Linked DNA regions of Coturnix japonica. The protein of the gene in region 1 binds, or shares a complex with, the protein of each later gene. Links are inferred from orthologs where the notes say so. Each region holds a gene or a part of one and is shown in the gene's direction. Other genes may lie near its edges.

The links.
Region 2: EXOSC7 (region 1) and EXOSC1 share a complex: the UniProt entries of both Homo sapiens proteins name them as parts of the RNA exosome core complex. The link is inferred for Coturnix japonica from reciprocal best matches to the Homo sapiens genes EXOSC7 and EXOSC1.
Region 3: EXOSC7 (region 1) and EXOSC6 share a complex: the UniProt entries of both Homo sapiens proteins name them as parts of the RNA exosome core complex. The link is inferred for Coturnix japonica from reciprocal best matches to the Homo sapiens genes EXOSC7 and EXOSC6.

The regions. Positions count from the first base shown.
Region 1 is NC_029517.1:39,619,514-39,623,800, reverse strand, and holds the start of EXOSC7 (exosome complex component RRP42), read left to right. Parts: upstream 1-1,359; 5' UTR 1,360-1,435; coding exon 1,436-1,492; intron 1,493-1,594; coding exon 1,595-1,696; intron 1,697-3,881; coding exon 3,882-3,976; intron 3,977-4,287. UniProt on the Homo sapiens protein: Non-catalytic component of the RNA exosome complex which has 3'->5' exoribonuclease activity and participates in a multitude of cellular RNA processing and degradation events.
Region 2 is NC_029521.1:19,502,304-19,505,947, forward strand, and holds EXOSC1 (exosome complex component CSL4), read left to right. Parts: upstream 1-1,387; coding exon 1,388-1,418; intron 1,419-1,491; coding exon 1,492-1,607; intron 1,608-1,737; coding exon 1,738-1,812; intron 1,813-1,965; coding exon 1,966-2,054; intron 2,055-2,208; coding exon 2,209-2,242; intron 2,243-2,377; coding exon 2,378-2,428; intron 2,429-2,526; coding exon 2,527-2,611; intron 2,612-2,780; coding exon 2,781-2,887; 3' UTR 2,888-3,014; downstream 3,015-3,644. Other genes in the region: palmitoyltransferase ZDHHC16, read right to left, coding at 1,121-1,389. UniProt on the Homo sapiens protein: Non-catalytic component of the RNA exosome complex which has 3'->5' exoribonuclease activity and participates in a multitude of cellular RNA processing and degradation events.
Region 3 is NC_029526.1:1,395,361-1,398,834, reverse strand, and holds EXOSC6 (exosome complex component MTR3), read left to right. Parts: upstream 1-1,490; 5' UTR 1,491-1,511; coding exon 1,512-2,468; 3' UTR 2,469-2,836; downstream 2,837-3,474. Other genes in the region: AARS1 (alanine--tRNA ligase, cytoplasmic), read left to right, coding at 270-389, 522-608, 883-996, 1,192-1,377. UniProt on the Homo sapiens protein: Non-catalytic component of the RNA exosome complex which has 3'->5' exoribonuclease activity and participates in a multitude of cellular RNA processing and degradation events.

The DNA.
Region 1 (4,287 bases):
CACCCCACCCCACCCGTAGCCCCGCGGTCCCGTGGCTCTGCCCCGCCACCTACCCGCAGGCCGCCGCCCGCCGCCACCTCCCATCCGCCCCGCCGGAGCGGGCGCCCCGCGCGCGGCACTGGGCCCGGCGGAGCGCGGTTCCCCCCCCCTCCCCAAGCGCCGTCCCCTTACGCGATCCCGGCGAGGAGGTGGGGCGGCAACGGAGGAACCAGGAAGTGGCGGCTGGCGGCCGGCGGCCCCGCCCCGGGCCTCGGCACCGCAAAGCCGGGCAGCAGCAGCCGGCACCTGCGGATTTAGCGGCCGCTGCCTGCGCTGCTTGCAGCTTCACCGGGCAGCGTGAGCCCCTGCGTGCCGGGCGGCTCCATCACGGTCTTTTTCCACTTCCAGCTGGCTAAAATGAGGCAGAAGGCATCGCTTTGTCCTTGTTATAAACGACACCGCATCCTGTGAGCAGCGAGGAGCTGCTGGCTGCGCTTCCAGTCTGGGATGGATGGCAGACATGGAGGAAGGAATGAAGGAAGGAAAGCTGCCCCTCCTTGTGTCTGAGCGCTGTGGGTGCAGCTGGGAGCCAGGCAGCACCAGCGCCATAACCTCACAGAATGACCCGGGTTGGAAGGAACCTCAAGGATCATGTAGTTCCAACCCCCCTGCCTGGCAGGGCCACCAAACATACACATTTACTAGATCAGGTTGCCCAGGGCCCCATCCAACCTGGTCTTGAACACCTCCAAGGACGGGGCATCCACAACCTCCCTGGGCAGCCTGTTCCAGGGCCTAACCACTCTCCTGGTGAAGAACTTCCCCCTAACATCCCAAACCTCACTGTGCCCTTAGTGGGCACCACTCAGCGCACCAACCAACATACAGGAGAGCCGTGCTGAGCGTATGGCACCTACAACGTGAGCTAATGGAAGCTGCCACAATAAACACCCCTCAATTACAACGCAGTGTCAAACTGGAGCCTTTAATCGCATTCCCACACCACCAGCACGATGTCTCGGGTAAAACTCCGCATTTCTCCGCGGTCTGACAGCCAGGAGAACCTCAGCTTCATACTCGGGTACCCTCATAGTCTCATAGTCTCGTGTGGGTTGGAAGGGACCTTAGAGATCATCGAGTCCAACCCCCGGGATTCGAGCCTCTCTGTAGCAGAGCGGCACTTGTACCACTTGTGCCACAGGGGGGATTCGAACTCCGGGCCCCAGTGTTGCAAGGCGGCGTTCCTACCACTGCGCCACCGGGGCACACAACCCTCAGGTTACTTTTACCTCAGCTAAGGGCACACACACACACAGGGCCGACCCCACCGCCCTGTACAAGGCGCTGAGGCGACCGGCGCCATTTCCCGCCTGCGGAAGTGCGGCGGTGCGCAGGCGCAGAGCTCGCCTCCTTCCGAGAAGCGGAAGCGGAAGTGCTCTGCAGCGCGCGGGGTGTCATGGCGTCCGTAGTGCTGAGCGACGCGGAGAAGATGTACATCATACACGGCGTCCAGGTAGGGAATAGTTGCTTGTCATCTTTGGTGATGTATTCGGCACGGGAAGCTTGAAAAGCACAGGTTCCTTATGTTCGCGATTACGTTGGTTGTCGTGTTTAGGAGGACCTCCGTGTGGATGGCCGTGGCTGTGAAGATTACAGGTGTGCAGAAGTAGAGACAGATGTGGTGTCCAACACGAGTGGATCTGCGAGAGTGAAGCTGGTAGGTGAACGGCTCAGGAGTCGTCTACATTGCTGATAAAACTGGCTTGTTTCGCTTGGCTTATGATAAATAATTGCTGCTTGTAAATACGTCCATGTGTGTCTCCTCATATGTGTCTAATATGTTGCTCCAAAAACAGCCCCTCCTATTTTATGATGTTGGCCCACAGTATCATAAGCAGATGTTGGTGGTGTGGTAGTAGAGGTTGAACCTTCCCAACAATATTTCATTCTATTGTGTTGCCCTGTGACTGATGACAGCAGATGTGCAGTCTGACAGAATGGTGTCTGACTTGGAAATGCAAAGATGTGGTATTGAATTATGTCGTGTTGAAACGATTGTCCCTGTTGGCATTCATTGTCGCATGCTGAATGCTGATGGAGACCCAACAGCGAACGTGAGCACAGTGAAGCGGGGCCCTGGGCAACCTGATCTAGTGAAGGCGTATGTTTGGTGGCCCTGCTAGGCAGGGGGGTTGGAACTACATGATCCTTGAGGTCCCTTTCAACCCAGGTAATTCTGTGATTCTGTGTGGTGGTGCATTTCACCTTGTGAAATACAAGGCATGTTCTAGATGACCATGCACGGCTGTCATACGATGAAATGAACTGTCTTGATCAGCTCATTTGTGCAAATCAGCAGATTATGACCAGGGAACTGTGTACAGAGCTGAATATCAGCTTCATTGCATTAGAAATGATGGTGACAATGTTGGAATATCAGAAAATGCATGCCAGGTGGCTCCCATAAGTGTTCACAGAGGAGCAGAAAGAATACTGTATATCACACAGTATCACAGTCTGGTGTGGGTTGGAAGGGACCTTAGAGATCATCGAGTCCAACCCCTGGGATTCGAGCCTCCTGTGTAGCAGAGCGGCACTTCTACCACTTGCACGACAGGGGGGATTCAAAGTTATAAGTTTGTCAGGATCTCTTGAACCAATACAAGGCTGAAGGCAACAGTTTCCAGGATCACATCAGTAGTGATGATGAGATGTGGTGTCACCACTACGCACCGGTGAGAAAACGCAGTCCATGGAGTGGTGACATGTGATTCCCTATTGAAGAAAAAGTTCAAGAGATAGCCTTCAGCAGGCAAAGTATTGTGAACTGTCTCTTGGGATAGGAAAGAAGTGATCCTTTTGGATTTCCTGAAACCCAGACAAACCATCAGCTCTGACTGCTACATCATGACACTGACTAAGCTGAAGGCTTGAGCTTCCAGAGTCAGGCAGAGAAGAAGACACCTTTTCTCTTGCAATGCGATAACACCAAGTCCCATACCAGTTTCAGGACCCTGGAGCACGTTGCCAAATTTGTCTGGACTGTCCTACAGCACCCACTGTGTAGTGTGGATTTGGTGCCTTCTGTCTTCCACCTCTTTGGGCTTGATGGAAAATAGACTGCTCAGGCAATGCTTTCCTAGCAGTGGTGCAGTCATAGCTATGAAACAGTGGGTTACCTCTGCTGGTGCAGATTTTTATGAGTGCAGCATGCAGTCTCTTGTTCATCAGTGGTGAAAATGCAGAGTGATGGTGACTATGTTAATAAGGTTTTGTTGCTGAGAATCTGTTCAATCAAATAATGTTATTTTGCTCTTTGCACCTCTTATATTTTCTGTGGAAATAAATAGAAGACGTTACTTTCAGAGCGACCTATGCATGTATGTATGTGCTTAGCTCTAATTGACATGATAGGTTGAGGAAATAATGACAAGATATATGAATAATTCAAGTTAGCTTAATGCATTTGAGCTAAATTTATAGTGGAGTGCCTGAAAGGCCTTCAGTCTGAACTAATCTGCTATTGGGTGTTAGATGCTGTTGTGCCTGTCACTGGAAAAAATAATTCTGCTCCTTTACAGTGAAGCAAAACTACTTCTGGCATGTGTTGACTGTAAAGAAAACAATTATTTTTTGGCGGTATTATAAACATTCTGCAGAAATAACTGATCCAGAACTGCAATGATAAAAAGGTATGGCTATTAAGATTGTCTTATATACACAAAGAAAGCTGATATGTGGGCACAGAATTGTTCTCCTAAAGCCTTTCTGTTCTGCAATTCTCTAGTAGAGCAATTAGCAAAGACAACAGAATAGATGGTAGTGTCTGCATGCTGTAGGCATCTCAACTGAGTGTATTTTGCCCATAGTTCTAACTGTGTGATGTATTTTTGTTTTAACAGGGACACACTGATATCTTGGTTGGTGTAAAAGCTGAAATGGGGACACCGAAGTTAGAGAAACCAGATGAAGGTTATCTGGAATTCTTTGTTGACTGGTTAGTATAGTAGAAGAAAAGGTAATGGAGCAGTATGCATATACACTTTGCTTCTCACATTTGAAATAAAAAACCTAATCAGATCTGAAATGTGAACCTTCACTGCCCTAACCTGCTTAGTGTCTGAGTAACAGCAGCAGTTTATTTTACTGTCTTAGCTGTGCTGAATGTTCAGAAACATCATTTCAGCTTTGTAGTATCAATTGCCTTTTTTTTTCTTTATAGTGATTGAACATAGACAGTATCTTTCAGTAATGAAGCATTCCAAGTATTGACATGGGGGAAGAAAAGAATTAATTTATGGAGATTAT
Region 2 (3,644 bases), on another chromosome or scaffold:
TGGGTGTGGGCAGATGCTGGGTGTGGGCAGATGCTGGGTGTGGGCAGATGCTGGATGTGGGCAGATGCTGGATGTGGGCAGATGCTGGGTGTGGGCAGGCCAGGTGTCAGGCTGCACGGCGGGGCAGGGCTCCTTCACCCTGCGCAGGATGCGGAGCAGAAGCGGGTGGCGCTGAGCCCAAAGGGATGCTGCGCTCCCGAGCTCTGTGTGCGGAGGGGGGACACGGGGCTGTCAGGCTCCGCGCCTGACCTCGGGTGCTCCCTGCTCCCATCTCGTCTTTCCCACAGGGGAGGGGGTTGGGGAGCGACACGGAGAGTCTGACTCAGAGGAAACTGGAGACGGTGAGGGCACATGGGGCGAAGAGCTCATTCCAGGGCAGGGAACGCTCCAAACCCACGGGGATCCCCTCAGCAGCCTTTGCTAATGGATTCGGGAGTGAGGGAGCCCGCACAAAACACGTGCCCTGTTCCTCACACCCAGCAGCACCTGGACGGCTCTTCCTTTTGCCTCAGCCCCGGACCAAGCTGCAGAGCCCATCGCACACCGACCCCAGCAGCTCCCCGGACAGTGCCACGCTGCGCTGTGCCAGGCCGAGCTGCGGGCACTCGGACAGCAGAGGGACGCACCGAGCCCTCGTCCTCCCGCTGAGCCTCTTATCCCACCCGAGGGCCGCGATGGGAGCGAGGAGGAACCCGAGCCGGGCCCGAAATGAGGCAAACGATCCGCCGGGTCAGGGCCCCCGGGCCATCAATATTAACGGCACGGCCGGCCCGGGATGCGGCCAAGGCACGAACCGAGCGCTCCGCTCGGCACCGCGCCAGGCAGCGGCACGGCCCAGCGCCAACACACGGCCCGGGAACACAGAGCGAGCGGCCGGCACACGGCGGGACCGGCACAACCGGCACAACCGGCACACGGCGGGACCGGGACACAGCGGTACCGGCACGGCCGCACGGCGGGTGATGAGCTCCCGCTCCCGGTGACCCCGTGCTGGGCTCAGGGCTGCCCTCGGCCGTGCCAGCCGGTCACGCCGCCCCAAGGCCGCGGGCCCGCCCCGCTCCGTGCCCCGCTCCCCGCCCCGCCGCACCCATCCCGTTCCCGTTCCCGTTCCCGCTCGCACCTGCCGCCCGCTCCCCGCCGCCCGCCGCCATGCCCGGTTCCCGCCGCCCTCACGGCACCGGGCAGCGCCCGCCGCCCCGCGCCTGCGCACTGAGCACAGCGGGCAGGGCCGGCACGAGGCGCCGCACTACGACTCCCAGCGGGCCGCGCGACACCGCCGCTCCCTGAGGTTAAAAGAGAACCAATAGGTATGCCGCTTACATCGCGGCCCCGTCGCTGAGAGCCAATAGGAGGAGGGTTCTTTGCGGGCTCACGCGCGACGCTGAACATGGCGCCACCAGCTCGGTACTGCGTGCCCGGTAAGTGCGGGGCGGGCGGCGGGGGGGGACGGGCCGGTAAGTGCGGGACCGGTGCTGAGCGAGCGACCCGCAGGAGAACGGCTGTGCGGAGCGGACGGAAACGCGGCGGGGAGCGGCACCTACGTGCGGAACGGCAACATCTTCGCTGCGCTGAGCGGATGCGTGCGGCGCTGCGAGCGGGACGGGGCGGTGAGAGCACGGCGGGGAACGGGAAACGGGGCGGGACCGGGCTGAGACCGGGTGTGTGTGTGTGTCTATGTGTGTGTGTGTGTGTCTGTGTGTGTGTCTGTGTGTCTATCCATCTGTCTGTGCCCCGCAGCTGCCCGTGGTGTCGGTGGTGCGGGATGCAGAGGCGCAGCTGCTGCCCGACGTGGGCTCCGTGGTGACGTGTAAGGTGGGTGCCGCTGTCCCCACGTGTCCCCGCGGCCGGGGCCGTGTGCTCGGCTCACGGAGCTCCGGACGGACGGCGGCGGACACTCAAGGAGCCGCCCGGCCCGGCCCGGCCCACGCTGCGCGGGCGCTGAGTGCCCGCCGCCCGTTGGTGCAGGTGTGCAGCATCAACTCCCGGTTTGCCAAAGTGAACATCCTGTACGTTGGCTCCACGCCGCTGAAATCCACCTTCCGTGGCACCATACGGTAGGGAAAGGGCAGGGGGCACACTGCGCGGTGCCTGCCTGCTGCGAGGACAGCTGCGTGGATGCATCTAGCGAGGCCTGGCTGCCGTCCAGGGAGGCCGGGGCAGCTCCTCCTGGCTCTCTCTGGTATCACATTCCTGTGTCTGCTTTTCTAGGAGGGAAGACATTCGAGCTACTGAAAAGGATAAGGTCAGCGGGGCACTGCTGGGTACAGTGCTGTTACAGCTTCCCCCTGTCCAGCTCCCCTCGTGCTGCTGCCCATGGGGTGCCTATCGAGCAGTACCTGCGCTCTCCATGCACTCCTGTCCACTCCCTCCCACGTAGGTAGAAGTCTACAAGAGTTTCCGCCCCGGTGACATAGTCCTGGCCAAAGTCGTATCCTTTCCCATCGCAGTGGGAGGGCCCACGGGCCTGGAGGGTTTGTGCTGGGCTATAGAGGCAGGGAGTCTTTCCCTTAACACAAACCTAACCAGATCTCGCTGGGGGATGCACAGTCCAACTACCTGCTGAGCACGGCAGAGAACGAGCTGGGTGTGGTGGTGGCACGCAGCGACGCAGGTAGGAATCCTCATCTCCATGTGAGGAACAGCCAGTGCAGCATGGGGAGCAAACACCCTCCTTTCCTCCCACTGCTGAGCCTCAGGGGCTGCACGAGGAGGCTTTGGGCTGCTGGGGCTGGGCAGTGTGACAAAGCAGGAAGGGATCTGCTAACTGAGGATGCCTGCAGGGGTGCAGATGGTGCCTATCAGCTGGTGTGAGATGCAGTGCCCACAGACGCACACCAAGGACTTCCGTAAGGTGGCCCGTGTGCAGCCTCAGTTCCTGCAGACATAGCAGCCTCCTCAGGGGTACAGGGACCCCAGGAAAGAGAGCTGCTATGGTGGGGTCCAGCATCTTCCATACAGCAGGATGGGTTTTGTATTTGTGCTGTAAGTAATAAATAAACGTGGTTTTTTTGAGAGCTCTGTGTTCTGCTCAGTCACTGCCCGCAGGGGTTGCTCTGGCTGCCTGTAGCCCTTCTGCTCTGGAGCTGCTGGAGGGGGCTGTTTCTCCCATCAGTGTGGGAGTGAGAAAGTCTGTTCCTGTCCTGGGGAGCAGCGAGGCTTTGAGGCTTAGTGGTACATAGCACCATCTATGGCTGCTGTGCTCATCCCCAGGATGGCTTATCACCTCAGGCCATACATGCCCTTTGTTAGGCAGAGGTGTGGCACAGCCCAGAGCCCATAAAGCACTGCAGTGAATCACTCTTTGCAGCGAGGATTGCAGAACTGTGCTTTGCTGTGCAGTCTGAGCACCTTCTGCACCCACAAGTCAGCAGCAACTTGCGCATCACAGACACGTGGTGGTGCAGGAAATGCGGTGCTAGGCAAAGTGGGAGCTCCACGTGGCGCAGTGGCACAAGGAAACGCTGACATTTAATTATTGCATATTCATCTTTTATTGAACTGGAACAAGACAACTGCTACCGCTGGACAGTTAGATTGACCCAGTGCAAGCCCAGACTCACTACAGCAGCAGTGGGGGAGGCTACAGTGACAGTGCCAAGTAGACGTTTGTGGGATGGGTACACAATGGCATCTAACCACCTCCA
Region 3 (3,474 bases), on another chromosome or scaffold:
TGCTTCTCTGTCTCCTCCTCTGGGGCCTCTTTGGTTACTCTCTTGGGGTTAATTGCTGGTGAATTGAAGTCTTGTGCCAACGCTCTGTAGGACACGAGCTCAGAGGTCTCAGCCCTGTGTTCTTTGGGCGCTACAACTCACACCTGAGCTTATTGGATAGCAGGGCAGGGGAGCTCAAGCCACTTTGAGGCTCATTAATGCAATGCAGCATTCCCTGCATTCTGCCATGGCCACCTCCACCTTTAACCCTCCCTTGTCTTGTTATGCAGATGCTGGCTACTGCTGTTATCCCACAGTGGCAGAAAGATGAGCTGAGAGAAGCTGTTAAAGCACTGAAGAAGGTTATGGATGACCTGGACCGTGCAAGCAAAGCTGACATCCAGAAACGAGTGAGCCCTGGCTGTGTGTGTGTGTGTATGTGGGGGGGGGGGGTCTCTTTGTGCAGGGAGCTCTGGGCTGGGTGGTTCTTGTGTCCAAGTGCATTGTGCAGACACCTGAACAGCAGTGCTGTCTGTCCTCAGGTATTGGAAAAGACAAAGCAAGTCATTGAGAGTCACCCTAACCAGCCACTAGTCATCATGGAAATGGAAAACGGAGCCTCAGCGAAGGTATGGGGAAGGTCTGATCTCTCCTTGTACCTGAGGGGCAGTTGGGTGGGCTCTGTTTGCTGTTGGAGATGGTGCTGTGAGCCAAAGGAGTCACAGTGCTGAAGGGCAGGTTTCAGTGTTGGAACAACCAAGCTGATCTGGTGCCACTTCATACCCCTGCCCTCCCTCCAGGGCTGTCCCCGTTTATGTGAGGCTCACAGCTGGGCTGAAGTGCTGCCTGGGGGTAAAGCCCAGGGGCAGGTGAGCCAATTGATGTTCCTTGTTCTTCCTCCAGGCCCTGAATGAATCACTGAAGCTCTTCAAGACTCATTCCCCCCAGACTGCCACCATGCTCTTTGCTGTGGACAACGAAGCGGGCAGGATCACCTGCCTGTGCCAGGTGCCCCAGGTCAGTCTGTGCTGCAGTGGCAGGAAGATGAATCTCATGCGATGGGGGCCGGCAGTCACTGCGGTGATTGAGAGCCACAGCTCTGTGCTTTGTGTTGTTATGGGGGATGGAGCAGGAGGGAAAGGGGCTTATATCCTTCCTCACCGCCACCAGGCTGCAGGTCGAGCTCTGTTTGTCCCTTCTTTTCCCCTCCAGGAGACAGCACAGAAGGGCCTGAAGGCCAACCAGTGGGTGCAGGAGGTCTCTGCTCTGATGGACGGCAAAGGAGGAGGGAAGGACGTCTCAGCACAAGCCACAGGCAAGAACGTGGGCTGCCTGCACGAGGCCCTGCGCCTGGCCACGGACTTTGCCAGGCTGCACCTCGGGGAGCTGAAAAACTGATGGGAACCCCACATCCCCCCTAATTACCCTTTGGTTTGCTGTATGAGCCCCGCATCCAATAAACGATAGAATCAAGAAGGCGTTGTCCCTCAGGGCTGCTGACACCCCACATCAGGGCAGCTCCTCGCCGCTCTATGGTTCCCCACGTTCCCCTCTCGGCCGCTGTACGAGCTCGGGCGCTGCGGAGCTGCCCCGCGGGGCCGAGGGCGGAGCGGAGCAGCCGGGGCTCCTCCTCCATCCGTCCCGCTTCCCCCCTCGCCATGCCGCTCGATCACCGCCGCCTGCACGGCCCGGAGGACTCGCAGCCGCCGGAGCTTTGGGCAGCGCAGCTCCGGGATGGGGATGATGAGGCTGAGCAGAGCGGGGCGGCGCCGCGGGATCCCTGCGCGCTGCGGCCGCTGTTCGCCCGCGCGGGGCTGCTGAGCCAGGCGGAGGGTTCGGCGTACGTGGAGCTGAGCGGCGGCACGAAGGTGCTGTGCGCCGCCTGGGGACCGAGGGAGGCGGCAGAGCCGGGCGGGGCGGTGGCAGCGGGGCGGCTCGTGTGCGACTTCCGACGGGCTCCGTTCTGCGCCCGCGGGGCCCGGCCCAGGCCCGGGGGGGCGGCGGAGCGGGAGGCGGAGCGGGAGGCGGCGGCGGCGCTGCGGGAGGCGCTGGAGCCGGCGGTGCGGCTGTCCCGGTACCCGCGGGCTCGGCTGGCGGTCAGCGCGCTGCTGCTGCAGGACGGGGGGTCCGCGCTGGCCGCCGCCATCAGCGCCGCGTCGCTGGCGTTGGCCGACGCCGGGGTGGAGATGTACGACCTGGCCGTGGGCTGCGCGCTGTGCCGCCCCCCGCTCCCACACGGCCACGGGTCCGCGGCGGGGCCGTGGCTGCTGCAGCCCGGGGAGGACGAGGAGCGCGGGGCCGCCGCCCGCCTGACGGTGGCGCTGCTGCCCGCCCTCAACCAGCTGTCGGCCGTGCTGGGCGGGGGGCGCGGCGGGGAGACCGAGGGCTGGGGGGCGGCGCTGCGCCTCGGCGTGGAGGGGTGTCAGCGCATCTACCCCGTGTTACGGCACTGCCTGCTGCGGGCTGCGCGCCGCCGGGACGGGGCGTGACGGCAACGGGGAGCCGCTGGAGCCGCCCTCGGTGCCACCGGAGACCCCCGGAGCTGCCCATGGTGGTGCTGGAGACCCCTCAGGCCTTACCTGGAGACACCCAGGACTGCTGCTGAGACCCAGACACCCCCAGTGCCATCCAGAACCTTCAGGGTTTGCCTGAGACCAACACAGACCCCCCTGGACTGCTTTGGATGCCACCACAGACCCCCCAGAGCTGCCCCCGGTGCTGCTGGAGACACCACAACACCCCACCACCACCCCATCCCTCAGTGACTGCCCCCGTGGTGCCCTGGGCTGGCAGAAGGGACTGTTGTGTGCTGTGTCGTTTTGAGTTTGTACAATAAAATGGGTTGTATTTTCTTTTTTCTGCTGAGTTCTGCCTGTTTGGAGCTGCTGAGACCCCCACAAAGCTCCAATATGGAGCTGACCCTCTGTGCCCCCATTCAAACACCCAAGAACCAGAGAAAAGAGATAGAAATGATGAATTGCTTGTTTTCCTTTCCAGCACAACAAACTCTTTTGCCGGAGCAAATCAGAACTACGGGTCAACTTCGGGCCAGCGAGGGGAGAACGGCCTTGAAATGGGGCACATAGACATGTAGGGAGAGGGATGGAGGCTCAACTTCCCCAGGCAGAGGTGAGCAGGGTCCCTGCTATGGTGGGGGACACCATTAAGACACCATTAGGACACCATTAAGAGAGACCCGCTGGTGCTGGGTGCCCTGTGCTGGTGGTATCATGTGTGGCCACCTGTGTCCTCACCACTGCCCAGCAGGGACAGCACTATGGCTTTGTCCGGCATGGGGAGCACATCTGGCCTGTGTTGTTATGGGATGGAGGGGTCAGTGGGATGCTTTACCCACAGGGGAGGTGAGTGGGGACACAGCGGATCTCAGCTCTGGGCTAATGATCCTTTGGGGTGTGGAGCTTCTGCCCTCCTCCCCTCCCCACGTATTGACATTGCAAAACAGGAGGGATAAAGATAAACCAACGCGCACTCGAA